Neodiprion lecontei: one gene and its partner. The protein of the gene in region 1 purifies or fractionates together with the protein of each later gene. This does not show direct contact. Links are inferred from orthologs where the notes say so. Each region holds a gene or a part of one and is shown on either strand. Other genes may lie near its edges.

Region 1 (15,303 bases):
ATATATAATAAACTAAACTTTGCTCAGGCCTCGACAAACTTTTCCGTCAGTCTATTCAAAGTTGGAGTTTCGTACACGTTCCCTCGCTTTCATCATTTCATAGCGATTCCGTTCTATGGATCGTTTGGACAAGACAAAAGCGTACAACCCTCCAAATACGGCGAATGTCCTGGAAAAAAAAAACTATATTTTATGGTCTGTCACGAGGAAAATTGGAGATGACATGATCGTTCACCAATGATAGCTGCCGCGAAAGAAAGCTGCTTACATGCATGCGTACTAAACGGGTTATGTTGTATAATCCAATACAAAGATTGAAAAAATTTGATATGAAATATGATGCGATTCTGCAAATGGCACATATTTCTGTCTGCCTTTTACGAAAGTGCATGCAACGTACCTACACTGTTACTTATTCGTCCATTTACATACCTACCATCCAATGCCGACTTTTGCCGTCTTCGATAAGGCCATGTCGGAATCCGTGATGATCCCTGAATGAAACAGCACCCTGCTGGCATGGCGCATGCATGCAGCGCATGCGATAGGAATGGGGGATATACATCGATGTTTCGACTATCGATGTTTTTTTACGGGAGCATCGACGTTTTTGATCGGTGTTTTTTAACGTCGATACATCGATAGTCGATGGAAAATACTGAATTGTCGACGTCGTCAAGTCGGGAATAAATTAAATTTGTGAGCAAACAATTCTCGGTAACTTATTTATAAACACGGAACACACATTACTAAGTTTTATAATAAGTCTGTGTTCTCTACCAAATGTTTCACTATTAATCTGTATATTTAATTATTTTACTTTTGCATACTTAATTTAATTTATATTGAATTCTCATACTTAATACTTATTTTTAATTATAATGAAAGTTAAAAATTTTCGCGTTCATTTTCCTTTTTACCATTGTAGCTAGAATCATTTAAAATATTCGCGCTTGTTTTCACCATCGACGTGTTAACAATCCATGTTTCGATGTTTTCAGAAGAACATCGCTAGTTCGATGATAAAGAATTCAAACACGATGCCGGTGTTTATTTTCTACTAAGATCGCCCATCCCGGTATGCGATACGCGAGACAATGTCGTTCATCCGAACTATCCTATTCAACGAATGTGCAAGGAGGGCGTGCATCGTGCCCCGTGCGATGAAATACGACGCGCCGAGCCGTCGAGTGGCGTCCTCTGGACCGCGTAAGATGTGCAGTAGAGCAGTTCAGTCGTAAGGTAAATGCAAAGAGAGGATAAATGGTAATGTAATAAACGTGCTCTAACCTACCTCTACATCACATCAGCTCGGCGCGGCTAGACTTTGCTTACGTATTGGTGGATATCCTGTCGCTAGAAAAGCAGAGAACCATTGTTTTCTTCTCCAGGTCGAAAGGGTGGCTGGGTATTCCAGCACTTGGAAGCCGAAAACGTCTATTTCTAGTCCGAAGCATAATATATCAATAGGTATATCCACCCTGCATAGATGTTCGTACATATTATATTAGCATTTACCGGGTTACAGTTGAATACAAAGTCTGCTAAAGTTCGTTTTTTGCTCCTCATAGGGGGTTGCGAAACCCGTTATGGTATTTTCAATGTATTTCAAGCATTGAATCATTTTGAAACAGTTTCATACCTGATATTTACTTGACTTCCCGTACAGACACTGCTGCAACACTCTTCATCTTCCTTTTCAATTTCAGAACAATACAATGTCCACGCAATTCCTAGGGTGTACCGTGTCGGTCAAGTGCGATGAGTCACTTGGCACTTACCAAGGCCAAATTGTCGACCTTAACGGCCAAACCGTCACTTTGACAAAGGCTTTTCGAAACGGGGTACCTTACCCCTCTCCGCAAGTTGTTCTGTCGTAAGTTTTAGATCATATCGGTGATGATTAGGTGTTAACGACAATATCTTTTACATTATTTAATTCTAATTTTATTCCCTTATAGTGCCAAGGACATACTTCATATAGAAATAATCTCAACAGAGGAAGCTGAGGATTGCCGTGATGAAGTTCAGACTTCGAGCAAAGTCACGGTGAGGCGACCCATTGCAAAACGAGCTGGTAGATCCGTTTCTGAATGCATTCCACCTTTGGTACTTCCTAATTCCGATATTCAACAGCAATCTAATGCGCGGAAACCGCTTGATTCTATGCAGTCACACCCAGAGCCTGCTGCTAATGGAAAAATATATCTAGGTAGGATTTCCTGCACTTTCGGTAGTAAAATTTTAACGTTTGTCAGTTGATATATCGTAGTGTAAAAGATTGTGGGATATACTTAAGTAAAATTACAATTCCGAACTGTTATTTCCAGGCGAGATAAGCACAAAAAACCAGAAAAGGAGTTCGCAACGACAAAGATGGCAGGAGAAAGATGAACAAGCCTTTGGAACACCCATAGATCAGTCGATGGAGCAGGACTTTGATTTTGAGAAAAATTTAGCACTGTTCAATAAGGAGGTAATTATGGCATTTCATAAATCTGATGTCTGTACTTTTCATACCTTTTCCCACACCACTTACAGCGCTATACAACAATTAATTAGTTAAATAAAACTATTACAGGCTGTGTGGCAAGAAATAAATTCCTTGAAGCCAGACATCGTTCGTCAGTCTGAAAACACCAGAGGAAGTGTACCAAAATATCGTCACGATGAAAACGTAATAGAATCCGAACCTACAGCATTCAGACAAATTGCAGTGCCGTCTGCTGGTATCCGGGAATATGTAACTGACGATGGATTAGTAATTCCTAGCATAACGGTCGATCTCCATCGTCAATTAATCGGTGCTGCTGATAGACTAGGTATTAGCTGGGATCGCAGGGTAAGTAGAGAAACTTGACAGGCCTAAAAACCACTTTCATCCAAACTATTCCGTTCTTTATTGTTCTCTGCAAAATTTTTAGGTCGAGTTACTGGGTCGTGCAGGAGCGGAAATAATTCTACAGCTATTGGGTGGTGGGCATAGACTAAACCCGAACAATGCGCACCAATGGCCAACGGTAGTCGCCCTGTGTGGACCCCACAGGTCAGGAGCTGCGGGTGTCAATTGCGCTCGCCAATTGTCAAGTCACGGGGTGAAGACTGTCGTGTACGTTGAAAATTCGGAAGACGTCTTCCTGCTGCAGGAATTGTCGTTGTACAAGCTATCGGGAAACAGGGTTGAAACTCGGTACAAGAATCTTCCCGCAGTAGCTGATCTCATTCTCCTTGCTCTTGGCGAGGAAGGCTCGCCAAGGACAGTTGCTCCCGTTGCAACATGGGCGAACAGCAATAGAGCACCAGTTCTTGCAATTGAACCCCCGTCAGCTGGGACTCCAGGAATTATGACAAAATTCAGTCTCCTTGGTGGATTGCCCCTGTCCCATAGCGCGGATAACGGAAGATTGTATCTTTGCAATTTGGCCCTACCTGCTAAAGTATTTTCGGACGTTGGTATCACTTACAGATCACCGTTCGGACCGAAATTCGTTATTCCACTTCATTCCAACAGCTCCTAGCAGATTCCTATGACGTTCATCACTTCCGTGAAGGTACCTTAGAATCGGCTTCTCTAAATCTGCCATTATGCGAACTGAAATCAACGACCCACGGATTATTAATTACTCGAACAAAATAATTAATTATCCAGTTTTTATCATCAAACTAGTTTAATATGTATCTAAATATCAACGCCCGCGATTGTCGCGTGTTCCGTACGCGTGTTTGTTATTTACGCGGTGTGTTAATTAAATCGACATTGGACTACTGTCCGTTTCTTAATTTTGTCATACGCTCTTTTTTAGGAGCGAATTTGTCTCACGTGACTTTTGTAATTACGAGTACAGTGGAACCTCGATTAATTGGGCTGCTCAAGACCGAAGAATCCACGAATAAGTGAAATCACGGTTAATCCGAATTATTAGTAATTTTCGATCGATTCAATAGTGACTGCCGAGCATGTGATGCAGTCTGTGAACTAAGGGTATTTTCACAAGTCCAATCCCTTTCCAAGACAACCGCTAATACCCGGTTACTCACGCGAAGCTCGGAGGCGCTCCAGAGGGTCACGGTTAATTCGCTCCCCGGTTAAACCAATCCCAGTTAATCGGGGTTCTACTGTATACCGTTAGCTAGTATCCATAACTATTAGCTTGTTTGTATTATTTTTTTTTTTTTTTTAATTTTGATAGCATCTAATCGTGGGCCACAGCTGTTATAGTTTCAGCGACCATTGCTGATTAGTTTGTCGAAGTTGTTAGAAACTAATAACAGGGTGGAAAAAACCTGTACGTTGCAAAATGAAATTTATATATTGTTTGGCTCACGCCTTGCAGCGTCAAGAAATGTGCAAATTGTTATTCGTTCCGTGCTCCTATTTAAAAAAATTATAAACTTGAATCACGTCCAGTTCATATATATATATATATATGGATTGAAACTTGCTTAAATTGTAATTATCATATTAATTAATTTATTTATATTTTATACATAGTTGTATATCGAGAGAGAGGTGCTGGGTAAGTACCGAGTGTTGATGATTCTGTCAACGGTCTACCATAAGTTGATGATTGTGTACTATTGTATAGCCATATTATTACGACGATGACTATTCTTATTATTAACATATATACATGATGTAAAATTGTACAATAGAAGATCAAGAATGCAGCAGTAATTGTATCTTATAATCTATTAACACCTTACAGTTTCGCTGTATCAATTTACTGTCATATGCATAATAACGTTCCGCGGTTGCAGCCGGCCAATAATAATCGGCATTTTCGTTTACGCGCAGGAAGTCGGCGGCCCGCGACGCAGCGTGAATGCGTAAATGAAACTACTATAGAATAAATTACTGCATATATCAATTACGTAGTTCATAATTTTCTCTACTTGGGCCTAGGTCGATTCGCGTCTTGTCGCAGTCAGGCGTGACCTGGAAAGCACGGTACGTTACGTAGTCGCGCGTGTACGTGGAAAACAAAGAGAGAACAAGGGGGAAAAAAAGGAAGAAAAAAAAATTCGTGAATTTGTCATTAATTATCATAATACTTCTGTGTTAAGAAAATCCTCAATACCGTCTCGACGCGGAGTGTATTAACGCTTACGCTCACGCGCATATAACGTATCATGTATGTTGTATACACTTATCATTACTCGCAATACGCGCCCGTGTAATATCTGTGCATATCTCTTGACTCTGTCGTCCATGAGTCGCGCACGACGGTGTTATCAGACGTTGATTTAAAGCAGCTCTGATGCTGTCTCATTCTTATCTATCTTCGAAAGTTTTGGTACTTTCGGGAATTACGTTTTCCGCGACAATTCATTTAATTTCACGTTTAACGTTACGGATCGGAATACTTGCCTTAAATTTTTGCACCTCGTTGCCCTGGCGAAATAGTTTGAAACTTAAACTCAAGGAGGAACAAGTATATCGCGTGCGCATTGCGTAGGTGTTGTGTGTGTGCGAAGAATAATGCGCTGATTAAGTTGAGATCGTGTGGGGTACGGCTAAACGAACAAAGAACGAGTAATTTCTTTCTCGTTAATTTTCTCTATGTAACATCGCGATTAAACCGCGTGTGCTAGCTGATAACGATCAACAAGGTGATCGCTTGATCGTTTTGATAAACAGCACCACTTGCTTTTGCTTCTTTATTTTGCGGGGCGAGCTTGGCTAATATTGGCAGAACGCGTTGTCTGTATGCATATATATGTATAGCCATTTCTCACAGTTGCTGCTTGTGTGTGGTGTGTGTCAAAACGAATAAAGAAACTAGTCTAAAAGTAACGCCGACGAGTGGCTCTTAACGAAGGTGCGGGAAGAAAAGTATTTGTATATACCTATAATGTAAAAATATGTAAAAATCGTCAAATTTTGTTGTTCGATATACGTAATTGTGCGCGCTAATTAACTTTAATCGGCTACATCCACCACCGCTGTGATCCGGGACCCCGATCCTCCCAACGCAACGTATAACGCCCGTAATTCTCGCCTCTATGCATCTCTATTCGGCACGTACAACGTACGGTGTACGTATAATAATAAAATACGTTGCAGGAGCGTGTCTAATACTTCGAGAGAAGAAAGAAAATAGAGGAAACCGAACACCAATTGCATACAAAGTTTAAGTCGAGTTATGAACGGAAAAGCTGCAGCCACCAGCCTGGGCACCTAGTCGATCCATAGATCATTTCTGTCCTTCGACGCGTTGCGATTCGGTTTGCGGATACCTTCTCGAAGATGCCGGCTACCTTGACGTACCCGATCTACGCCGGGATCGAACCACCGCCTCCTAGAAGACGAGCAAACACATGGACCAGCACATGGGTAGGACGACGTCGATCCTCGGCGAGCGCGCAGGAAACTCTCGCATCCCGAGCTGGAAGGCTCTCCCTTTCCGTCCAGCCCACAACCACGGTGAGGAAACTCTCTTTTTCTTCTTCCCTCCCTTGTCGCTACGTCCTGTAAGGATACGTGTCCCAATAAGGAAACTCCGTAGCATCATATATAACCTACATTGTATTACATTTGTATGCGTGGTGGGACAACATGCCTCTGTATATGTATACATACATATTTAAATGCTATATACCTACGTGAGCCAGATTATAAATATACGCAAAGTGAGAATTCTATGAGTCAATGGTGTTTTTCACTGGCGATTCGCTTGTTCGTACGTAAATGATACGAATCGCACATTGTACTGTGATCTTCGACATTTAAAACCGCAACCCGTGTCTCGCTTCGTATGAAATAATAAAAGTAACTGAATTTATTGGATGTATATGTATGTATTATGTACACATATAGCTGTTCCGGTTGGTTATACCATTCGATTTGTCGTATGCCAATTCGCTCGACCAACCAACTTTACCGTAAATCACGTGATTTCACTGATATCACTACAATTGAGACTGGGTGCGGCGTTAAGGGAATATCAAACTTTTTTTTACTAAACGTTTTAGAAAAATTATGCGACTGCATTTTTTTTTTTCAAACCATTTTTGACACCCATACTTATATTTTCTAACTTGAGGTACACAGACACTAGGGGAAAATATTAGTCGATGTTATTAGTTTACGGTGCTTCTTCTGCGTTTTGATAAGATTAAAGGTAATTCCCGCGGATGACCTCGAATGTTGTATTGTACGTACAAACACACGTGCAGCGACACTCACGGATGGTAATCACGGTCACCGAAGGCGCAAGTGTACGTATTTGAGTGTACGTGTACCTGCTGCGCACTGTAGACGGGCCAAAATCTGTTGCGCATGATATGAAAGTGCGTTAAAAAGAAATGGGAAAATTTCTGGTATACGCCAGATTGTCGATAATATGAAAATTGATGAATGAGAATTGAGCGGCAATGGGAATCATCGAAGTACCGTGTGCACGACCATTCGTAAGTTTCGCGGGGGATCAGAAAGGCGGATCATGACGGAACAAAGCTTCCGTGTTACTTTGATTATCCGAAGTTGGCAGCACTTGAAACGGCCGTCTGAACGGCAACTTAGAAAGTGGGGGTAATACGAGAACAGACTTCTTGATGGCAGATAATAAATTATAGTAATTCGTAATAAATAGAAAACGATCGTTTTTCTGGCGATTCGCGAACGTTTTTATTCCACGTGTTGTTAATGGCAGAGGAACATGTTTACGGATACAATCCGACGACCGGCGTCGACGGGGTGAGTCCTACACGATATTTGACAGTTCCCCTGACAAGTGGTCTAGGTTGGGTTCTTTCACGATCTTCGAAATCCGAGGTGTCCAGGGCTTTCAGGGTCTACCTGCCGTCGCACGAAATATCGTCGGAAAATATCCTTGTCGGCTCAATCGCGTCAAACGTTACGCTCCAGAGAGTGGGTCGGTGGTTTCCGGGAACTTGTGATATTTCCCTTTTCTCTTTCTCTTTCTCTCTATCGCCCTCTGTTTCTCTCTACACTGGTCTCTTCCAATTATTGTATGTATCCTTGTCGCGTCACCCTCCTCTAATATCTACCGATAATTCAGTCGATTCTAACGCAGCAAGGTCGTCCTGTTATTATCTTTCTGTACCTAGGACGAGGAGGCAACGAATAAGCTGAGGCTCAAGGTTATAGCTGGTCATCAACTGGCCAAAAAGGACATATTCGGTGCGAGCGATCCTTACGTCCGAGTTGATTTGAACAAGATCAATGGAGATGGGAACGTCAACTCAGTGCTCACCAAGACTAAGAAAAAGACCTTGAACCCAGTTTGGGAGGAAGAATTCATATTCAGGGTGAGTTTGCTGTAACCACCTTCTGTTGTGTCTGATAAATTATAATCTAACGTCAAATTGATAATGCAATGACGATTAATTGTGCATCTTGCTGTTGCAAAGGTCAAACCAGCCGAGCACAAACTCATTCTCCAAGTATTTGACGAAAACAGATTGACCAGAGATGATTTTCTCGGAATGGTTGAGCTGACTTTAATCAATCTACCCAAGGAACAAGAAGGACGCGTCATTCCTGCCAAGCAATATATACTTAGACCACGTAGGTGAGTAGCTGGCTGTAGATGTTTGTTTCGGTACGATTATCTCACATCAATCATATTATCTAATGGTAGATGCAAATTATATTCAACATCCACATGAACCACCGTTTTCAGAGTATGATACATATTATAATATGTTATCCATGTTGTTTCTTGATCTTTTACCAAGAATTGTGCGATGATAAAAATAATTAATGATCGACGACGTGGCTTAGCAATCATTCCAGTCAACGGTCGCGCGTTAAAGGCACGCTGGAAGTGTACCACGCATACATTTCGGACTCAACAGGGGAGAGCAGCAATGGCGAAGGTGAAACTGCGCCTGACTCCGGTGGTTGGGAACTGTTGGACCAGCCCGTTTCAACGTCTAATGATAGTCCTGTAGAACAAGCTGCTCCGGTTGGTTTACCTAATTTTTTCTACAAAGTACAGTCTTTCAGTTACTCTACAAGTAAATGAACACAAAATTTTGAATTGAGAACAGCGATCGAATATAAGATCGACCTGGGCACGGGAAATTCTTTAACAATGAGAAATAACTGTGATATTTCAATGCTCATATTCTTAGACTTCATCAATTTTGATTTACAGACAATAATGGTCAATGGGCCTCTGCCGCCTGGATGGGAAGAAAGACAGGACGCGAACGGGAGAACGTACTATGTCAATCACATAGCTAGATTCACGCAATGGGAACGGCCGACAGTCCTGTAAGTGAAGTTCTGTATGAATTCATCAACTCTTTACAAACCCCTCATACATGTCATCGTAAACTTCTTCTGTAACTGCCGTTCTTACAGACAATCGATTATGGTTATTTTCCAGAAATCAAGCACCAACGGGTGGTGTAACACAGGAGCAACGAAATCTAGATACCGCAGCAACCGAGTTCCAGAGACGCTTTCACATCAGTGTTGATGATGCAGAAAATAGGCATAACCGAAGCTCTGGCCTTCATCAGGTGAGAACACAAAGTGCAACTCACCTTTTTCTTTTGCCAATAATTTTGCCTGATAGAATTAGCAACTTGCTATACAGTATAACAACCTCGTTGTCATCCTACCTTACAATGGTTTGTTATTAACATTAGTACTTCTAAAATTATAAAAATAAAGTTCAAATAAAACTGTGGTGAGGGGTTGTATAAACGCAGCATGCGGTGTGTAGCAAATTGTGCATGTGTGTATAAGGATGGTGATGTCCCTCGAGAGGAGGACGAGCATGCGGAAGACAAGAATGACGAAGGTGGGGAACAAGGGGAAAGGGTGGTTGGGGATGCTTCATCGGATTCCGGTCGTTCAGTCGATCAGCACGGCTACCTGGGCGAATCTGATGATCAGGTATTCATCGTTCACTTCGAACCATATTACACATTTGCTTTCTTTGTGCAAATATCCGATTATCAGCTGCCTTCTTTCAATCACTTCTAATGCTTAACAATATCAATATATATCGCAATTTTAAATAAAAAAATTGCCAGTATATTGTGGCCTCACATCCCTGTGTATTTAAACATACATGCCGTTGTTTTTTCTGCGAGCAACGCCAGCCTTTTTTTTCTCGATGGTGGTATTTCATCATGCTCTGCAATTTTTGTTCCCAGAGTGAGGAAGCTGCTGATAGCCCGAATGGTTCCAGGCGATCCTCGGAACAGGTATACTTGTTTCTCCGTACATATGGATATCCCAATTTTCAATATATTTAACATAGGTATTCTGTATCTCTCTGTCAATTTTTTTTATCCAGATTGATGGTCCAGTAATACCAGCGGCTTCCCCGGCCACAGCTATAGCTCCACCGGCAGCGGCTGCTTCTCAGACACCGAATGGCGACGGGTTGCCTTCTGGATGGAGTATGCAATTGGCACCAAATGGTAGAATGTTTTTTATAGATCACAATGAACGAGCTACGACGTGGGTAGACCCAAGAACGGGGCGCGCCAGTCCTATGCCGAGTCACAATGCTCCGTCAGCAACACCAAGGAGTGATTTAGACCAGTTAGGACCATTGCCCGAAGGATGGGAGGAAAGAGTGCATACGGATGGTCGCATATTCTTCATTGATCACAGTGAGCCGTTTTACTCAAATTGCCGATAGCTGGATAACCTTTGAGCAAGATGATAATTATGTACACTGATGTAAATTACTTTGTTTCAGATACAAGAACCACTCAATGGGAGGATCCGCGAATGTCTAATCCTCAGATAGCTGGACCTGTAAGTTATCATTTATTTCTATGACGCTGAAGCTTATCTTATCTGTTTTATTCCGATTTGATTGTAATAATCGGGCAAGTATAGAAACTAATCTCGCGAACATTATACCTGAATTACAGGCAGTTCCGTACTCCAGGGACTACAAGCGTAAATACGAGTACCTGAAGTCACAGCTGAGAAAACCAGTGAGTGCATCAAAAATTACTTGGTTCATTCTAAATTGATGAATTGTTTTTAGTTTTGGACAATCTCGATGTAACTTTGGACTTGCTTGTTCATAGAACAACGTGCCTAATAAATTCGAGATCAAAGTGAGGAGGACGAACATCCTTGAGGACTCTTACCGCATCATTAGCTCCGTAATTAGATTAGAGATCCTGAAGACTAAGTTGTGGGTGGAATTCGAAGGCGAGGTCGGTCTGGACTATGGTGGACTTGCCCGAGAATGGTTCTTTCTACTATCGAAAGAAATGTTCAACCCTTACTATGGTCTTTTCGAATATTCCGCCATGTAAGTTATCGCGAGTTGACGCATTATCTGTCTTTTGTTAACTTGTTGATCTCTCGTTATAGGGACAATTATACTCTACAAATTAATCCGTTCTCCGGAGTTTGCAACGAGGAGCATCTTAACTATTTTAAATTCATAGGACGCGTTGCGGGGATGGCTGTTTATCACGGAAAACTTTTAGATGGTAATTATGGCAGGTCGCTACTTAATTACTCATTCAATCATTCCCAGTTTGGTAAAGCAGAAATTTTTTAACACTTACACTTCCTTCAAGCTTTCTTCATCCGACCCTTTTATAAGATGATGCTGAGCAAAACTATCGACCTTAAGGACATGGAGAGTGTCGACTCAGAATACTATAATTCCTTGCTCTGGATAAAGGAGAACGATCCAAGCGAGTTGGAACTTACTTTTTGCGTGGACGAGGAAAGCTTTGGTCACACGTCTCAACGAGAGTTAAAACCAAACGGCGCAAACATACCGTTGACTGACGAGAACAAAGATGAGTACATAAGTTCGGTTATACAATGGAGGTTCGTGTCCCGAGTCCAGGAACAGATGAATTCCTTTCTCGAGGGATTCAACGCACTTGTTCCGTTGACACTCGTTAAAATATTCGACGAACACGAACTGGAGCTCCTTATGTGCGGTATACAGCACATCGACGTTAAGGACTGGAAACAGAATACGCTTTACAAAGGCGATTATCACGCTAATCATATAACCGTGCAGTGGTTTTGGCGGGTGGTTCTATCATTCAGCAACGAAATGCGCGCCAGACTTCTACAGTTTGTCACGGGAACGTCGCGTGTTCCTATGAATGGATTTAAGGAACTTTACGGCAGTAATGGCCCCCAGTTGTTCACCATAGAAAAATGGGGGACCCCTGAAAACTATCCGAGAGCTCACACGTGGTAAGATGGTCGGCTTACGCCCACTATCTCGAATATTTATATCTGTTTTTCAGATATGTTTTAATTCGTTTTTTTTTCTTTTTTCTTCTACAGCTTCAATCGGATAGATCTGCCACCGTACGAGAGTTATCAACAGCTTAGGGACAAGTTGGTGAAGGCGATCGAGGGTTCGCAAGGATTTGCTGGAGTCGATTAGCGCGGGTGTTCTCCTGCGGCGCTTAACTGCGGTTCCATCACCGATATTGACTGTACTATAGTGCGTGTATATATTATAATGTATGTGGGAATGAATGAGAGGCAGTGCACGTGTGTATGTATCTACGTTTAGTTATTATAATAATACCAATTAATATCCAAGCTATATAACTGTTAACTGTATGCGATGCCTCAGCCGTGACCCGGTTTCACCGTCACGCCATGATTGGTACAAATACCATACCAAACGTGTTGAAACCTACCGCGTAGAAATTCGACAAACTTGAAAGACAAAGTAACGTCACGCGTACGTCATCGGGCACAGTTCGAATACTTTTCTTTTCTTTTTCTTTTTATCGCTGAAAACGTTAAGTTTCAATAGTAACATTCTACTTAAAGCCTGCTACTGCTAATTGCTTTGTACTTGATCGCTGTGGCGAAAGTCGTCTGACAAAGAGAATAGCGTTTTTATAACTAAAATAAAATTCCGTTTTGAGTGTAACGAAATTACGTCATTCCACAGAGTTCACTTGTTTCTGTAGCTGTATTACGGATCTTCATTATTAGAAATCCGAATTATATGTATAGATATTCCATTACTCATTATACCCACATAGACGATACCTTTGTGGCGTATTGATGTCGAAAATTCGGCATTCAATACATTTATTTTTATTGTACGAAGAGAATGACAGAGAGAATACCATAGCGATTCTAATTCTATATGCAAGATTCTTATTAATTGGCCCACGCTCTGACAAAAAAAAGATTACACTTCAATAGAACGTTTCATATCTGGCGTGTGGGCCTTTTTTTTTCTGTTCCGCTGTCAGTCAATCTATGGTGATAGTAGTGAAACACGTTAAAAAGAAACGGAAAACCTTTCAAGTACGCGTAGCTGAAAATCAAAATGATTCCTTTGAATAACACACCAAGCCCGTTTGGGTCTAAAAATTCAGATTTACTTTTTTCATTTTTTCTAAGTAATAACAAATTAAAAATGAAAATCGAATCTATGTACCAACAAAACGTAGCCCTACCTGTATGTATTATTGTATATTACTGATCAGTGATTATATTTCCGTCCTATTCGCGACGAGTTCAACGAAAATTATGCGCAGAATGTGAGCGTCGATCTTGTCGCTTGCATGGGAGTAAAAAAAAAAAGAAAACGTTTATCAATTTTCAGAGTATACATATTATTTTTAAGAATTTGTGAAAAAAGGTCCAAGTGCCTTTAATATAATTATTCAATCAATCGATCAATCAATGGTCAACCCTGAGAAAATTAGCAACGGTTGAACGAAAAAAAAATATGTAGCCCGGACGCTTAAGATTGGCTGTTGAGCGCGTTCGTTCTCGCGTTGAGTATTTCGGGTGAGCTTTGATATATAAAATTATATTTTCTGCCTACGGAAAAGGTAAAAAGAATAAAAAAGCATTTCTGCTGAACACAATCTTTATCAAGTCATATATGAATTATAATCGTCGACGGCGAGACCCGTGAAAGATATCAACCGCGTAAACCTGTACGATATTATTCATTCGGTGCAACGAACGCTGATTCGTTCTGAACGTTTTATTTTTATTTTTATCCCTCTTTTGCATCTGAATGGCAATAGTTGGAATTGGCGCACTTTTTGCGACACGTGAGAAAAAACAGAAACGGCGATCAAAATACCATCGAATTATTGTACATATGTATATGTATGCAATGAAACGAGCGTTCGGCGTTGTATGGTACACATACCCATACTTCTAATTGAAATTATTATTATAATAATAACTATTATTGTACGATTAGTTAGGACTAGAGTTTTTTTTTTTTTTTTTTTTTTTACAGAGCACCTTCTTAAAGACGCAAGAAAAAGCAAAAAAATAAATAAAATAATATATATATATATATATATATATGTGTATATATATGTATATATATAAATAACTAATCGATTATACATGTATACATAATACAATATTATGTAGGTAAATTATTATGTTACTATTTACTGTTATTAAAATAATATGGTGACGTTTTAAGTATAGAAAACACGCGAATTGGAGCATAATTAACTTGCTATACCATAACCGACTTTAAGTTTAGATATATGTATACATATGGTATATGTATATACATACTATAAATATCGTTCTTGTATAATATTGTACGAAGGAATGAAGCATACTTGAATAAACTTTACTGAGAAGAGAAGAACGGTGTACAATGGGTACGTATCTCGCTGATTATCCACAATGTTGTTAAACGCGAGAGGATACACACTTGGTACAATTATCTAAAATCGTCCAAATTTTCTTGTTACAGATTTGAATATTGGCGCCCTGCGGCAAAGCTAGTTCACTACTTCCCGGCAAGATGGCGGCACGTTCGGTGTGCACGAAGCGCCGAGGGTATAGCGGCGATGCGCAGAATCAACTTTTAAGGGCTTTCGCCCTACGTCCGTTAGATAGCGCGGGCCCCGAGGCACATCCGCAGAATCAAAAAAGACAGCTGGGAAATGTAACATCACGCATCGATTTGGTCGGCAGCCCTTCTCGCGTCGTCTGAAAAGTTCCTCCGTTCCGTCTATCTCCTCGACCGTGGTATTTATTTTGTAATTAAATAGTGAACGATAAGCAACGGAGGAGTGGGAATTTCGAATCGTGAATAGTGAGAAGGTGATTCCAGTATCGTTGTTACTAACTCGGGGTGAAAATATAAGTGGTGCGTAAAGGTGGTCAGAGACCCGGGGGCTAAAGCGATATATTCGTTTATTGGTCATGCCGTTCCTCTCGTGACAGCAGCGGCAGCCCCTCACCCCCTACCGACCCACCACGGTTCGTCGACCATTCCGGCGACCCCCGTCCCCTCCTCGCCCTGCCTCCCTTTTCTTGCCTCTCCGCCACCCCCTCCCCGCCTGACCCCCTTGTCTTCGTCGTCG
Region 2 (17,870 bases), on another chromosome or scaffold:
CGATTTCGTCATACGTTAGTTTGATTATTCCACAAATTGGCTACACTGCATCAATCCTTACACTCCAACTGCGCAGCGGTTTATACAACTATCTTGGATTTCCGTTATATTACCTTCAGATAGTCATGGTGTACAGTTTAAGGTTAAAAAATTTCTGGCACATCTGTATAAGACCACTCCGGCCTGGGATGAACTTGTTGTGCAACGCACGGTGATGATCGACGCGTTGTAATATGCAGCGAACTTCGTCGTTCAGGCGAATCGATTGCTGAATAATCTACGCAACTGTTTCATCGCGCTACTTCCCTCAAATCTTACTGTCAAATCACAGAATTCTTATGCAGGCGAACTAGCTGTCTTTACTCGACGCGCTAGAATGAACTCGAATTATTGACGCTGTGGAAAATCTGCAGCCCATACATTATTCCGCATTATATTGTGCAGCGTTCATCTTCTATATATTCGTATAATCGATCGCATAAGCGACATGTTCAAGTCGAAGCCATCCGATATCCGTGAATACATTGATCCACATAGTCCACGGATGATGGATTTGATTCACCAGTCAAATAATAGTGCTCATTTCGAATTATATCGCGCGATGACTCGATGCTTTTTTTATTAAAAGCATATTATTATGATGATAGGAATTAATAAGCTGCAGAAAAATTGTCCTACATTCATTCGTCGCCATATTTCGTGTGACCTAAGCCTAATATCGTAGCAAAAATGATTTAAACTCACCAAATGATGATTGAGACGGTGACTGAAAATTTGAATTTGATAACTGATGCATTGTGGGTTCTATTTACACAACAGCCTCCACCAATCGACGGGCTTTACAAGTCACACAAGAATCTGTGTGACATTTTTGCCATCGGTAAAAAGGGCTTAGATCACGATCAACTGTAGGTAACAGTTTAAAGCGTGTTACCGTCGATAACAAGGTAGAAAATGTACCAGACTTATTGTTAAATGTGCACGATTATCGTTACAAGTTTCTTCTTCTGTTTATGGTATACAAACGTTAAAGATTAAATTAATATAAATTTATTTACAAAAAAAATTACAATAAATAAGTTAAATACATTGGTTCAGGTGTCGTGGATATGCTGCTCGTGGAGTGGCGATTACATTTCGTATAAATGTACATTATAAATATTTTTCGAAAATATATCTTAGATCATATTTTAAACTCACTAAGGGTATTGAGAATTATATACTAAATTTTTTTTTTGTTTTAACCGGGTTCTAATTTGAATTGAATAACAATTAATATTGCATTGGATTAACAACGTATTTCAACCGGATAAACGATCAAATTAAACGATTTTTGTACAGAGAATTTCATAAAAAATTCTACGTTAATAATGATAATCAATATGTCAAACGACATAATATATGCACGTTTTATTACTTGTACGTGTCGCAAACTATTATCCTATGTTGTGATTATTGATTGCCTTCTGCAACGTTTATTATGTATAATATGTAGACTAAAATTTTTCAAGTTCTAAATTTTGTTATACAACATTCAGGCAGTTTACTACACTTACTGTAGTACGTACTTTCAATCTTAATTATTACAATAGTATTTGATAGTAATGCAATTTTCAATTTTACGATTAGTATTAATTAGTTGTGTAATAGATGTGAGGCGAATTTTCATTATTTGTATCAAATAATTAAATAAACAGAATAAAAACTTCCTATTTTTTGGATCGGACTGTCAATGGTATTATACCAAATTGTGAAAGCATATTGCAAGAGTTTTCAAAGCCAAAGAATACCATTTCTTCACATTCAAATTGTCAACTTATAAACGATTATTCACTTAGTTTGATACTAGGCCGCTACAATTAGAACACTTACATTTGTTTCACAGCTGCATTATACAAAATTAATTCTAATTCGCTTACTTTAAATCGTGATAATTTCTATGCTTTACTTTACTTGCTATACTCAGAGTACTGCAAATTATCAAACTTTTTGAGCAAAATTGATTCCCGTTAATATTGTAAGGGAAAAATAAAAACAGCGCGAAATCTTTTTCCTTGTTCATAAAAACATAATAGAAAAACGAGGAAAGAAAAATAATTAAATCTAAACCGATTACTATGAGTATCACATATGTTGTATTAACTGTACCTATAATACCTGTTTGCTAAATTGTAGCCTTAGTTTTTGATTCAGATGTTTGTTCGTTTATTTTCTCAAATGATTTTGGCAGTCTTTTATTTGTGCCTCTTATCGGTATCGATTGTCTTCTGTATGATAAGCTTATTTCTCTGCCTGGTGACTTTAGTCGTAGGCTGTGTGCTGGGGGCTATCTGCTTCAAACCTTGCTGAGGTATTTTGGCAGGACTAGCGGCTCGCGGATGAGTAGATCCTTTTAGAAGACCCTCGACGTCGGCAAGCCTCCGTCTCAAGCTTCTGTTCTCCCTCTTACATCTAGCCAACTCTGAGTCCTTGTCGAGCCTGTCATGACCTGAGCTGCTAGTTTCTTCGGCGAAATGCCGGAACATCAGATGCAGCTTTTCTTCGTGTTCTCTTTGCATCAAAACGATCCTTCTCTCCGCTTCCAGCTTCGTTTGTTTCAGGGCGTTAGTCAGTGTCTGGATTCTCCACTCTTGGGTTTCTGCGTGAGCCTCTAGCTCCGCGGCCTGGATCTCCAAATTCTTTGAACTTTCTTTCAAGTCGATCACTTTGAGAAAGTATTTGTAAAACAGAGTTCTCATCTCACCGTCCGACAGCTTCATCAATCTTTCCATCAGCATTTGCTCACCTTTTTCCCTCTTCACTTGATTCTCGTCGAAACACTTCCTGCCGCATATCATTTCGTTTTTATGCTCAATCATTGCGTCAATAGCCTCTATCGTTTCCCCACATTCAAGCAGTTTTCTCTCCTCTACTATCGTCAGTGTTTTTTCTTTCTGTAACTTTTCATCCAGATCGCACTTCTCATCCACTAGACAGTCCCTGGTCCTCCTAAGATTTCTTATCTCGTGCCTCAGGGCTTCTTTCTCATCCGTATCAGCCGTTCTCTCCAGATCCATTGATTTCTCTTTCAAAACATGGTCCAGATGTGAAATTCTTGCGCTCACTTCAAGCAGGTTTTTTTTCTTATCGGAACAATCGTTTTGCGACTTTGAATTCTTTCTGTCATCTTCACTTTCGGACTGTATTTCTTTTAATTTTGAAGCTGTTAAGTTGTACTTCTCCTCCAATTCTCTTATCTTTCTCTGATCCTGGACTAGCTCATTTTCCAGCTGCTTTTTGTGCTCGTCTTCTTTTTTCAGCTGTCTCTTCAACTTCTCCATTTGCTTCTTAGACGAATTTAACGAACTCTCAAGCTCCAACACTTTCTTTGCAGAATCGCCAGCAATCTGTTTTATCATCTCAATATCCATCAATCGTTTCTCATAGTGAATTGCCATGTGTTTGTATAATTCAATTTCCTTCTTATGCGCTGATTTATCCTCGGTATCTTTGTACAACGAGGCATTTTCTGCTTGAGCAAGTTGCGTCCTAGTGTTATAATACTCCTCTTCAAGCTTGCTTCGTTTTCTCTGAAACTTTTGTTTGGCGCTTGCTCTAGCTTCGGAATTCTTTATCATATCAGCTATGAACTGTTCCTTTATTTGTATCGTATTCTGAAGTTCTTCTATGCGTTTATGCGCCCCTTCCAAATCCGACTGAATTTTTTTCACCTGCGTTTGCTTCGCCTCGTTTGTGAGGGTCAAATTTTTCAACACTTTGATCGGCTCTGGATCTTGATCAGAATTTTTAATCGTCTCGATCAACAAGTCCGGAGAATGTGTTTCTTTCTGTATTTTAACGACGTTAACGTTGTTGTCAAGTCTAAAATCAACTTCTCGATTTTCCAGCGTATTAGCAGCAATGAGTGCTGACAATTGGTGGTTAAAATTAGTATCTTGACACTGTTTGTATCCACCGTTGAATGCCAGTACTCCATTGCACATATCTGAACCCGGGAGCATTGAGTTTCTCCTGGAACTAGGATTTCTGATAGGAGTTGGCTTAACTATTGGCAAATAGTCGTTACCGTTATTCAGAGATTCTGCGGCAGAGGTATCAATGATAATATCCATTTTTCTGAACTCATCTTTTTTCGAATCAATGACATTGTCCGTATCGTTTTTAAACTTATTCATCAGCTCGTCAAGCTTGTCCAGAAAATCCGGATTCTCAGAACTTATGTCGCTTTCCTCTTCGGACAAATCCTCCGTCTCGGAATTGCAGCTACTGTCAGACTCGTTCCTGAACTCTCCACACGTCGCAGACTCGTCTGTTTTTTCATCGGTTTCAGTCACTTCTTCTATTCTCTCCAAAGACCTTCTGGTAACATCTGCGAACCCCTGTAAACTCGCCGTGTCGTCGCTGGCTATGCATTCCTCGTACTCCTGCTTCATGCAGAGCCATTGCTCTATCTGATCCTGTTCGGTATGGGGCAATATGTTGCTGGTCACAAGTTTATTGAACAAACCTTCCGCGTTTGAGACCAACTTGGACCATTGAGTAGCCGCAAATTCGAGCCTGAATAAGTCTGCACTGGAACTTCGCTCTCCGGATGTCCCAACCTCGATGTCCGGTGTTTCCTGAATCTCCTCGACCGTGTGCTTGAGCTCCTCGTCCTGCTGTTCCCTGGGATGTCTGAAAGCCTGTACTTCCTCGATGTACTGATTGTAGCATTGCCGATTGTCCAGGATTCCCTGATGATGAATCCATGGACCGTAATGCATCATATCGAACAGCTTCTGGGGTTGGTAAGGTCAGAATGGACTGAACTTTACAATCAACGTTCGTGACCCCGTTTAAGAGATTCCTATAACATTAAAACGAAAAATAAATATTGAATCCATTGTAGCCGTGTCAACGATATTGCATACTTGGCGTGTAAAAACGGGTAAAATTTCAAGTAACAAACTCATTAATTATAGCAATACAAAACGTTTGCTGTGTTGGAACGTTCTTCTAATGATTAATCTGAGACACTGATATAATGAAAATGAAGAAAAACTTACAGGTTTAGCGATACCCATGTGTCTGATTTAACGGTTTAGAAATATCTCTGTGGGTTTTTCAAATTCAACGCACGTTTACTGGACACGGTCGAGTTTGCACTGGTATGAAGTAAATCATTTTCGATGGAAACCGCAGATCGTAAACCCGAGCCACGTTGGGGGTTAAATTTACCGTGGAAAATAGAATTGCAAGATCAAAATCTGGTTGTCGTGATTAAAGAGAGTCATAAAAATCTATTCGCTATATGTCGGAATGACGAAGTAAATCCACGGGTAAATCAATAATATTTACTACAGGCAGAGCCTGCCTGTTTTTTCGTGTATAGGTGTACCGTATATTGCCGTATATTACGTTTTCATCTTGTTGGTACACTTGGTGATTCTCGTTCTATCACAGAGAGAGCTGTTCTATCCCGTCTAATTTCTGAATTGCGTAGGGTTGGTAGCGCCGCAGACAGTCAGTCATCAACCAATCAGAATCGTTGTAAAGATGTGTCGAAAGGGCTGAAGCTGGCAACAAATGGACCGCGTGCCGCTGCGTGAGTCACCGAGTGTCGACTGAAGTTGTGCGAAGTTGTCGCATGGACGTTGCGAGAGATGTGTTAACTGTAATTGCGAATGTGAGCTGTGCACGTGTGTGTATAGAGATCCGTGAATGCTCTGTGGTTAAAGCGATGACCTAACGAAATTTCCCATCGAGTAGAATCGGAGTGATTTTATTTCTGATTGACAAACGTAGCTGCGGATTTACGTAAGTCACAACATACTACACAGTTGAGAGTACAAGCAATACGCAATCTATACGTAAGTAATATGAAACGCAAGTATGCCTAAACTCGATCACAACGAACTCTCGCAATCGAAATTATGTATTTTGATCTCGCGACGAAAAAATGATTCTTCAGATCCAAATATCACCTGCAAAATAGCTCGAGCTAGTTGCAAACCTGGCTAAAGTCGGGAAAAACCAAAGAGAATAACAACATGTTTTAAAAATATTTGACACATGTGTAAATCAAAAATAACGATAAATCAAATCGACAATTCGATTGATTTTTTATTTTTCTTTCTGATTATGTATAGTTCTCACAATTTTGTGATCAATATTTCATCCCTAACAAACTAATGGCAAGAATAACCTGATCGTTATTTTATCTTCATCGAATACGTAGGACCTTAAAAACACCGGATTGTAAAATTTATCGGTACGTATAAAGCATTGTCGTTTACGATCTGCTGCACAGCTCAGGTGGAAGGATGCACATGCAACAAGAAGGATGTGTGAATACTATAGAGAACAGTGATGTGTGCATATTTGCATATTTTACAGGCACGCATCAGTGACATTATTAGCTGCGTGCTCACGCAATTTTCATGGAGCCAGAACGTTGTTTCGCTGCATGTTTCTCATAGATGCGATCGGGAGAGCATCGAGAGTACGCGAAGCTCTACTGTTATATCTATGGTTAAACCACATTAATCTGATGCAACGTGTTCCTGGTATAATAACGATCAGGTGATTCGGTAGTGCCGTAATTTCCACATTCGTAGGCATTTTTATACTTACTAATCAAACAGACCGTCACTTATACGATCTCATTTCAAAATTCAATGGCCGAAACACAAAGAAGATAATTTTATCTACAGAATTTTCATATTTTACAATATGTTCCTTGTTGACTCATGCTGAATTTAATCATATTCAAGGAAAAGATATTTTTAATAAGAAAAAAATTCTTTGAAATATACGCCTTTGCTGACGAATAAGTATTATTAAAATTAATCATGATTTGCTATTTTTACATTGCTTGAAATGCAGAGAGCATAAATTACATTTAAAAACTACATATAGTGATTATTTTTTTTCATTTCAACCTTGTTCTCAATAGGCGTAAAAAAATGGTATCTTAGTAATACTGTGTAATCTTTGACTCAAATTGAAGGTTTGAAGGTGAAGATTGCATTACGAAAGCAAACCGAAAGCACTTCTTCAACTTTTTAGTGTATAAGTATTTGTATACACAGAATTCTTTCCTCACAATTTCTAACGACTTTCTATTCACACTGGCTCATTCATGAATATTCATGACAAATAGTGTGTTATGTACGAACCATATAAGCAAACTATAAACTTAACAGTAATAATGAATTTTGTTACGTATCAAGAAACGAATTTAAATTAAGGGCAGTTTGTGAATGACTGCTGAATATATGAGGTTGAAGTAAGTAATGTTAACGTTACAAAACATCAAGAAGCAAATCATTATTTTTCCATTTTAGAATCACTTTCAAAAAGTTGGCTTTTTTTTGTTTGATATAGTATAGTTTATTAAATTTCGGACAATTCTAATGGTGCAATTAAAATTCTTTCCTAAACATGCGTTAATTGACTTCCACCACACCTGAATACCCGTTTAAATACATACAAAGTAGAAACACCTGTTTCAAACCCCATAAAATTGAAGTAACAAACGTTTAAATTGATTCTAAATTTGTAAAATTGAGATTTCAAAACTTATTCTTTCATTCTAGATTTGAAAGGAATAGTGATGACAACGGCCAATAATTGAGATTCTTAGATCATTACCGACATGCATAACTATCTAATATGCTCATAGTATAAAGGCAGAAAAAAAAAACAATACATGCATAAAATTATATAACATTACAAAAATTATATGGTATGCAACTGCAGTCAAAAAGATAACCACTACCTTGTTTACAGAAAATGGAGAAGAACCACCTAATGGGAAGTGGATTTCCACCACCAACTGCTCCGCCCTCGTATGACGAAGCTGTTGCCAATACTGCGGCAGGTCCTCGCCTTTATCCTCCACCTTCTTCTGCTCCGTACCCAACAGTCGACACAGCGATGCCAATGCCTGGATCTTGTATGTTTCCACATTATACAATAGTTTCAGTCTTCTCAATTTAGCTTATTTCACTTTTCAAGCTAGTGAAACTTGTTCCATACTTGAATAGTACGAGTTTTTAATTTGATGACATATCTAATACGAAAATTTTAATAAACATACCTTAAGTAATGCCTGAATTAAAAAGAGAAAAAGACTATGAATGATATATGATTGTGAATGATGTACGTTTATATCGATAGACAGCATTAGAACTTTTGGCATAAGAAAAATTCTCACAACACTTGTACTGAACAACGATGAAGCTAAAAAATGTTCAACATCAATGATGCACTGCTACATTGTTTTTTTGCAGATAATCCTCCGCCAGCAGCCATGCCAATGCCGATGCCAATGCCAACGCCAGAGACACAAAGCCAACCTCAATCATTTCAGCCACGACCTGCCGCTCCCTATCCTCAACAGCAAAACACAGCTCCACAGTCTTACGCGACACCTGCTCAAATACAAGTTGTGCAACAAACAGTTGCTTATGCAGTTGGACCAAACCCACTAAAAATGGTGTGTCCTAATTGTCGGGCGGATATAAAAACAACCACGGTATCGGAAACTCAAGCGAACGCTCACATTTGTTGCATAATTTTATGTTTACTCGGGTAAGTTTTGGACATTTTAACTGTGTAAGAGTTACAGTTGCTGACCATATCCTGTATATTATTCACGTTTAATGCTGCCCCTCAAAACTGAGCTCGCTTTATGAATTTTCGTCAGTTTGATGCAATGATTTATTTACCAAAGCTGATTTGTTACATTTCAGGTGTTGCTTGTGTTCATGGTTGCCATATTGCAGTAATGCCTTTGTGAATGTTCACCATTCGTGTCCCAATTGTAAGGCTTACATCGGAACGTATAAGGCTTGAATTTTGTGATTGTCACAATAGTCAAGTTTAACCTTGAAGTAATGGAGTAATTATTCTACAGTTACAGATCGAGGTGAAACCTTGGTCGTTTTTGACTAGGACGAAAATGTTCTCTTCTTTACATATTCGTATATATTAAACATTCACTCACAGACGCAAATATTTTTTTTTTTTATACAAATTCTATGAGAGATAGATGAAACGTATAATTTTATGATCCCAATTATTTCTACAATTGCTTACCCTTTCAATGAATGTTTGTAGAATTCTTGAAAAACGTTCAGTTTATGCGAAACACATTCCGTTGATTCTGAAACATTCTTACTTCATTGCCATGGGGAATATTAACAGGTTGATTGATTTGATCTGAGCTTTCCTTGTATACATAAATCCTCGTCGCTAAGAATTGAGAGTCAAGAGAAAAGAGTGTTATTGACATCTCATATGCCCTATACTCACTATTATTACTGGACATTAGGTTTCTTGATGTAGTCGTACTGAAAAGAGTGGTGGTTCACTGTACAGGAACACAGAATTTTTGCATTCTGGTAGCTCATTACGTTTCACTATGTGCATAAAATCAAACTCATATGATACTACTTCCATTCTTTATAATTCTTACTTTTTTTTTTCATATGTCAAGTAAATGTGATTATCTTGTTTTATAATATTGCACATAAATATAGTATAGTAAAACAATATTATAAAACAAGATAATCATATATATATATATATATATATATATATATATATATCAAAAAAGTATTAGTATTCGAAGAACACCGTATTTTCGTTAAGACCGAACAATTCATGCTTAGGTAAATATAAAGAAAGTAACCATTGAAAATGTACGACTTTTGCTTTGCTCTGCTAGTTCATAGGTTTTGCACTAGATACTTGGTTGTGAAACATTTACAGGCTTTTTTGAAAATAAGAGATTGGTAAATAATATACCTGTATTACGATGTTGGTTGATAATATGGTGTTTGTTGACGTACTTGCAAATTGTCGCACCATACGTGATACGTTACGCGAAGATCTGATTACAAAAAAATATTTATCTCTTGACAGCATCTGTTCAGCTCACGGAAATATTTCCACCTCAAATTAAGCCTCCGCCAGCAAACATAGACGATATCGTCCATCCTGACCTTCTCACTTATCGCTGTCTCGGGAATTTTTCATTGTTTAACAATTTCTATTCATTAACTATTTGAAAATTTCGTAATGTAAACTATTGGAATATCAAGTAGGCACCTGAAACTGATTACCTGAATCTTTTGCAAACTTTTGAAAATCTCTAAGTGAAGGGAAAAAGAACTCGTGTGACGAAATCGTTGATATTGACTGACGACATCAGTAAAATAACACATGACCGGCGGAGGGTTAACGAGTCAGATAGAAGTGTGAAAATCACATGCGTGTTTAGTCGAAAATTATTCAAAGGGCTGTGAGAAATTGAATATTTAGAGAGGAAGGTACGACGTGGTCTGTGTACCCTGCTGTTATTTTTCAAAGAAACCTTTATTAAACATAAGTTTTATATTTTTATATTATGCCTTTTTCATTGTTTGTATTCAAAAAGTTTGACAAAAAATATTTCAAATTATTAAATTGGATACGAATATCTAAATTGCTTGAAATTAGAAAGTAAGTACGTATGTATACATATATAATTTGAAGATAAAGAAAAAAAAAACTACCCAATTTGGTCTGAGTTTAATTTTTATTAAACAACAAGCCATTGTATCTACGTTATCATCAGTTTTCCATTCATGATTTTCGACTTCCTTGATCAATTGTGTAAGTTTTTATTTTTCTACTTCAAACGAGATATGTAACTAAGTGTTCAATGCTAGATATATAAGTCTGCATCAATAGGTGAAAATTTACTTCGTTAAGATAAAAAAAAAAAAAATCAGACATACGAATAATACTGTAAAGTATAAGTTAGACCAACCTTTGATAGTGCGTTGAAATTACTTGCAGTTTAGTAATAATAATCACGCCAACATTTATTATCGACCATGAGAGATTAATAAAATATTATTATTCATATTGTTTACTACCCACATGTAAGCTCTAACTAAAACTGTGACACAATTATTGCGCTAATCATTCTGTTCACGTTTCAATTAAGCATTAACGGTTTGGTCCTCAATTCAGGACAGAATTGACGTGCTAAGAAAAGGGTGTACCAAATGATGAAAACGTATTTTATATACAATTAATGATAAGAAGATATGACCTAGACTGACTGAAAGTCTAGTAAATCGATGATATTGTCTGATGATTGCGATACGAAAGAGAAGGGAATAAATGAACAAATTACACGATCGTAATAGTTGGGGAATATCTGTAATAACAATATTTATTGTCTGTACACGGCCAATGGGGTATTGGAAATACCTGATTTTTGTGTATAATCGGTAGGTGTACATAATCGTCATCTTGTTAAATAAATGAATATATTATTTAATATAATATTAATTCTTCAGTCGCAATGTCTTGACTAAATCATTCCCTCCAAATTATTTCTATATTTCAAACTCATCCAGTTTTATTTCTTGTTTTTTTTTTTATTCTTACATGTTTCGCATTTGCTTTCGAATTTACTAATGAAACTTGATACGAATACGCAAAATGGGGTCACGAAACAGTGTCAGTAGGTACGAAAATTCAGAGCTGACACAGAGAAATGAAAGCAGTCAATAACGATCCGTTGCGACGCATTTAATTTTGACCTTAGAATAGAAACAAATTTTCGACTATCAGTTGCTGATTGCGGCCAAATCATTGAGTGATTCAAAAATATTTAAAACGTTTCATCGGTGATCGCCGTAGTGCCGCGCTACACATGCGGATGTAATAAATACATTCATAGATATCTGACTTATGTATAAATTTCGGAACTTCGAAAAGGTTATGTCACTCGTGCAGCAATATGGCGGCGTGTGAGAGTGAAGATTTTCACAAGGTTTTGGAGTATAGAATTTTCAAATGCTCCAGCTACTCGTCGACCTATGTACCTGAGTAAGTATTTAAATTATCGACTCCTTTGAATCAGATAGAATCGTCGTGTGTCATCGAGCTGGCATCTGCCCACGACACGTAGAAATTTTACTACGCGTTCTTAACCTCAAACGAAAGCATTTTCTGTCAAGGACAACGCGTTCGGTTTCACTTAAACGAGGCTATTCACGGTCTCAAGGCCGAGCGGCGCGTGCAGGGTGAATAAACGGTTCATTGACCTTATTTCCCATATTTTCAGGAATATTCTCGTAGACGTACCGTCGGATCAATCCTCTCGCTGGTCCTCTGACAATGACAATCATCCTCAGGTATTACGTGCAGTGTGATAACGATGATTTACTTTCTCTATTATGCAATCTTAGCTTGATTTAAACCTACACCCTTAGCTCTTTGTAACACGAATTTCTTTACTCTTCTCCTGTTGCAGTTTCTCATTCTCAAACTCCAACATCAGTCCATCGTCAAAACTATCACGTTTGGTAAATATGAAAAAACTCATGTTTGTAACATCAAGAAATTCAAAGTTTTTGGTGGACTTGAACCGGAGAATATGATGGAGCTACTAGAAAGGTGAGATGCTTCCTTCAAGCATATTTCAATTAGACAACAAACGATTCTGTTTTACCTAAACTCGTCTTTCACGTCTCGTTTTCCTTGCAGTGGTTTGAAAAATGACTCTACACCAGAAACATTCGACCTCAAACATGTGGTCGGGAATGACGAGAACTATTTTCCGATTAAGTACCTGAAAATTCTTCCCCTGCAATCCTGGGGCCCCAGTTTTAACTTTTCTATCTGGCATGTTCACCTCGCGGGAGTCGATGACCAGAAACTTGTCAAAAGCAGCATTGAATGTTTTAACTCTGTATGTATTTCGCTTTTCACTTTTTTAAGACATCCTAGAACATTTTGTCAGATGCATTCAGCTAATTTAGGTACCTAAGTTAAAGTACAACTTTCCAGTAATAGCAGGTTAGACAGCAGCATAATACCAACGTTTTTATTCCACTAAACAAGGTGACTATGAAACCTTAACCGTAGATGTCCTTTAACTATAACGGAGTATTGATTAAGCATAGTAATTTTCTAAAATTTGCTCATTTTAAAAATTATTGTCAAAGATTCACATTGTTTACCCTCATCTGGCTTCTTGTTGCTTTAATTTATTTGTAACTAATTATTGTAGTACCGTCAGAAAGAGGTGTTACGACTGTGTATGAAACATTTTCGCCGCTTGGAATATCCGGAAATTGTCAATACTCTTCAAAGAGTTACTGGGGTGAGTCTTGAGGATTCCAGACTGTCAACACTGTATGATATATTGGTAACCAAGGGGGATCACTGCCAGGCAGAAAGATTCATTAGCAACGCTGTAAACAGTAAGTTTCTGGTATTTATCAAGGTTATTCAAAAAGCAATATTTAATTAAAAAATTTCATCCTTCATCCATGAAAACTTGGTCATTTTTCGATTCAGTGGGACTTTTCAATGAGTATATAAATGCTCAGGCTTACCGAGCTATATGGACAAAAATATTTTCCAAGGATCCAAAACCTGGAATGAGGGGTGGGCATCAAATGGTTTTGGACCCATCGGCGGAAATGTTGTATCTGTTCGGTGGCTGGGATGGAAATCAGGATTTGGCTGACCTTTGGACCTATAATGTATCAACTGACAAGTGGCATCTTATTTGCAAAGACACAGAAGCAGTGGTTAGTCAATGATCACGGTCTTGCGATATCAGGTTGTAGGATCTGCAACTAACATAAGCTATATTTCAGGGTGGTCCTACCGCCCGGTCTTGTCACAAAATGTGTTTGGACCCAGAAAGGCGTCAGTTGTTCACTCTGGGACGGTATTTAGACACTCAATATCGCTCGCCAGAAAATCTGAAGAGCGATTTTTACGTTTATGATATTGAGTCTGATAAATGGACACAGATATCTGAAGATACCGGAGCCGTCGGTGGTCCTCAATTGATTTTCGACCACCAAATGTCAATGGACGTCGCTAAGAGAACTATCTATATTTTCGGTGGACGTGTTCTTGTGCCATCGCATGTGTGAGTAAAACTTATATTGAAAGTGAAAATGAAAATTTTGGCTCAGATTAAATAAATTCCAATCAATTTTTCAATCTATCTTATCACTCTGCTTCCTTTAGGATTGAGGATAACCATGGAGTTACACCAAACGTGACAGAACCAGTATTTTCTGGATTGTATTCGTACCATGTGCCAACTGGGACCTGGAGTAGGCTCGCTTGTGATATTGCGAGACCCAGTCCGCCTAATATACCAACAATTAGGTCCAGAGTTGGACATTCCATGCTATTTCATCCGGTATGTCACTTCTTGTTCGTTGGATGTTGTGCTCCTTAATCTTCGATAATACGCATCTAATTCATATGCCCAAAATAAATAAACTCGTAGCTACTTGTCAAACAATGTAATTGGTAATAAGTGGCTCTATCATTTATAATAATGTAAAAAAATTTCTAGGAATTCAGAAAACTATACATATTTGCGGGACAGAGGAGTAAAGAGTATCTAAACGATTTTTTTACCTTCGAAGTAGACACCGAGACTTTGGAACACATCAATCTCAGTGACTTGGGAAACCGGGATTCAAATCATGTTCCCGCGGCTGGTTTTACCCAGAGGGCTACTATTGATCCTGAACTTGGCGAGATTTACGTTTTATCTGTAAATACGTAACAATGTTCTTTTTCTTTATGGCTCATCAATTGGTTTCAGCTATTGGTGATTACTTAATATTAAGAATCAACATAAAACCTCAGCGCTCACAGATGACTCTTACTTACAGGGTCTGAGCAAAGACAAAGAGAAGAGAGACGACAATGTTCAAAATTCTCTTTGGGTCTACAATATTAAAGAGAACCGATGGTCTTGCATATATCGTAATGAAAACGTTGGTGACAAGTATTGGAATAGTATGCAGGATTACGAGCCTTGTCCTAGATTTGCCCACCAGCTTGTGTACGATCATATTCAAAAGGTGAGCCACGCTGATTAAAATAGTCAAGGTGAACTCTGATTGCTTTCAGCTTTGACCGTTACTATTTCATTACGTTTCATATGCCGCAGGTCCATTATTTATTTGGAGGAAATCCGGGGCGCTCTTGTCTGCCAAAATTGAGGCTGGATGATTTTTGGCAGCTGGAACTCTGTAGACCCTCTCATGAGCAGATTTTGAGGAAATGCAAGCTGATAATAAGGAAGCACAAATTCGAAGAATTGGCTATGAAAAATAGCATCGAGGCTCTCGAGTACCTGCAGACACAAGTATACGAAATCATCGATCATGCCGATCCGGAGCAAACCAAAGAGGTATAAATCGTGTTTTAGACATAATTTAGACGTTAAAAACGTCAACTATCGGCTATCTCGTTTTTTTTTTCTATTTTGCAAAATATTAAGCTTAATATAGTAGTGATATTTGTTGTATCGTAGTTTCAGTTACTGGCTTCAGTTCTTTTCCGAGAGCAAGAAAGAAGCATGGATAACAGTTTAGATCTGGATCCAGCATCCAGCACTAGTTCCAGTGATCGAATTAATTCAGTGGTGCCAAAGAATTTTACGATGCACGACATCCACGCTCGCCGTACGGAATTGTTTGACAAACTTACCGAATTTTTTCCTGAAAGTTTAACTCAGCCGCGAGCAAATCTTATAGACCTTTTGCCATTGTGATATTTTTAACATGGTTAACGTACTTAAAAGTTATACTAATTTCGCGATTTTTTTTCCAATCACACACCAAAATCATACTTAGCCTATGTTTTCTTTATTGTATGTATAATTCAACAGCAACAAATAACAGACTGTTAGTCTTTTCGTTTAACAGGTATAATATCAAAGTCACGTGTTATTTATAATATTTTATTTTCATATTTAGCTCGTATAATTTCGTTTCAATATTACTACCGTGTATAAAAAATTACGACCAGTTGTAGTTCAGTTCATCATTATTTTTATACATACGGACAGCGATAATGATAACGTTTGATAGATTCGTTTCTGCAAGTAGTTTTGAAATAATGCCAATAGTCGTACTTTTTTTGATTATTTTTCATGAAGACTGTAATATTACATTTTATACGATTGTTTGTATCATTATATTTAACTTTAGAAATTTGGTTTAACTCTCTTTATTTATCAACTGTATCATCCTGTTATTCATCTCCGGTTTTACAATTGATTGAACTGTACGAAAAAAATTTTTTTTTCGAAGCCCGTACCTTTTCTCGCAATCAGTCAACGTTAATTTGCCATTCTACTTTATATTTTACCTTGTATTCGGTGTATTCGTTATTTTTAAAATGCATTGAGGAAAATACCCCAGTTTTTTTTTTTTCATTTTTGTCAGATTACATTAAATGAAACTTGGACCATTCACATGTTTGAAGGCAATTTTATTTTTACTTTCAATAGATTTTTATTTTTACAATTGCGAATTATTATTGTTGTTAATACTTGTTTACTTTTATCATTTTGTTCGCAACCTAAAATCTCTGTGAATTTCCGATTTACATGCTTGTAATACTGAAACTATAACTATATAGCAATTATTTGCCTCTCTGCTCTTTGCGAATTGTTATTCGTAATACTTGCTTAAACCTGAAGTTCATAATACAATGATCTACAACTGATAATATATATTGTCTAGATGCGTATTTATATAAAAAAGTTCTAAATTTACTTTAAATATTTAAGTGTACAGTGGTTTTATTATTGAAAATGATCTTAAGCTTCCGCTTGCCATAGTAATGAGTTGTTAATAGACTATTATGAATAAGCTCTAATAATAATAAAATAACAAAAATACAAATAATTAATATTTTATATTGCGTAGCTTTGTAAATATTTTTCATTAAGTTTTCTGTCGATATCGATTCTCTGTAATGTAACTGACATAATTTATACAATAATACATATACATATTATATATGTGTTTGTATATGATCACAATCTAACGATTATAAGATAACGTTAATGTGTATACAAACGTTAAATTTTTGGCATAATAACGCACTTTGGCATACTAGATAATCATACATCGAAATCTGTTACATGTCTCATCCAGATATTTCGTACTTTGAAAGGAGTAAAGCGAAAAATTGAATCTTTCATTATCCACCACGTGGCTAGATTGGTGGTTTTTTTTTTACACCTCCAAGCTACGACACATTATTTTTATGTAAATGTGTGTTGTCTATTAAACTTATCCATCGCTGTTCAATAGTAGCGCGAAGTAATTATTCACAATTGCATGGATTATACATGTAACGTAATTTCTACTTTTCCACAATTTGAAATGTTGAGAATTTATTCTATACTATTTGGGGGCATAACAAATGCATCAAATAGTGGAATATTTTTTAGGAAGTGGAATGTCTCAAGTCCAATTAATTAATACTTCATGGCCAAAAACATATTCATTTCCACAGATATGCTAATTTCGCACCTAAACAAACCATAATACTTAGGTGCTGTAACACACCTAAGCTTGAATGTTTCCTAGAATGAACGCGATTTCTTTTTTTAAAAATATAATGCTAGTTATGCGATGAGATCAACTGAAAAACGATCTGCGTATTGAATGGTGCATTGGAATATATATATATATATATATATATATATATATATATATATCTTAATACAATCTTAATACATAAAAGTTTCTCCATTTCACACAATATGCATGTTCTATTTGCACACGTAATAATGAAAGTGTGAAAAAAAAAATTAACATTTCTTCAAACATAATACAATCCATACTACGTTGGATATATATCTTCGGTCAACATATACTTTAATGTTGAGAAGTTTATAATCGTTGAAGTTTTTGTACAAAATTTATTATCCGCAGTAGTGGTCAAAGAATTCCTCGAAGTGAAATGTCTCGTTACAGGATTTTCTGCCGATATAGGAATGATAATAAAACTAAGTCACTTGGTACACAGGTAATAATATCCTA

The links.
Region 2: the proteins of E3 ubiquitin-protein ligase Nedd-4 (region 1) and lipopolysaccharide-induced tumor necrosis factor-alpha factor homolog purify together in Homo sapiens (affinity purification with western blotting; 3 studies listed by BioGRID and IntAct, counting the BioPlex papers as one, with this or other methods). This does not show direct contact. The link is inferred for Neodiprion lecontei from reciprocal best matches to the Homo sapiens genes NEDD4L and LITAF.

What each region holds. Positions count from the first base shown.
Region 1 is NC_060266.1:25,978,980-25,994,282, forward strand, and holds E3 ubiquitin-protein ligase Nedd-4, read left to right. Parts: upstream 1-6,247; coding exon 6,248-6,424; exon of another isoform or gene 6,425-6,469; intron 6,470-6,603; exon of another isoform or gene 6,604-7,159; intron 7,160-7,293; exon of another isoform or gene 7,294-7,645; coding exon of another isoform or gene 7,646-7,696; intron 7,697-7,709; exon of another isoform or gene 7,710-7,971; intron 7,972-8,070; coding exon 8,071-8,271; intron 8,272-8,373; coding exon 8,374-8,534; intron 8,535-8,746; coding exon 8,747-8,930; intron 8,931-9,122; coding exon 9,123-9,241; intron 9,242-9,356; coding exon 9,357-9,492; intron 9,493-9,721; coding exon 9,722-9,871; intron 9,872-10,134; coding exon 10,135-10,185; intron 10,186-10,277; coding exon 10,278-10,599; intron 10,600-10,688; coding exon 10,689-10,747; intron 10,748-10,866; coding exon 10,867-10,932; intron 10,933-11,028; coding exon 11,029-11,258; intron 11,259-11,320; coding exon 11,321-11,442; intron 11,443-11,532; coding exon 11,533-12,172; intron 12,173-12,265; coding exon 12,266-12,368; 3' UTR 12,369-14,573; downstream 14,574-15,303. Other genes in the region: enhancer of mRNA-decapping protein 3, read left to right, coding at 1,719-1,876, 1,962-2,212, 2,331-2,476, 2,582-2,842, 2,925-3,518. UniProt on the Homo sapiens protein: E3 ubiquitin-protein ligase that mediates the polyubiquitination of lysine and cysteine residues on target proteins and is thereby implicated in the regulation of various signaling pathways including autophagy, innate immunity or DNA repair.
Region 2 is NC_060260.1:37,751,450-37,769,319, forward strand, and holds lipopolysaccharide-induced tumor necrosis factor-alpha factor homolog, read left to right. Parts: upstream 1-5,658; 5' UTR 5,659-5,796; exon of another isoform or gene 5,797-5,849; intron 5,850-7,770; 5' UTR 7,771-7,773; coding exon 7,774-7,936; intron 7,937-8,273; coding exon 8,274-8,574; intron 8,575-8,735; coding exon 8,736-8,838; 3' UTR 8,839-10,781; downstream 10,782-17,870. Other genes in the region: kinesin-like protein costa, read right to left, coding at 2,235-4,766; muskelin, read left to right, coding at 11,783-11,871, 12,110-12,179, 12,299-12,441, 12,532-12,736, 12,841-12,888, 13,058-13,250, 13,348-13,583, 13,653-13,933 and 5 more.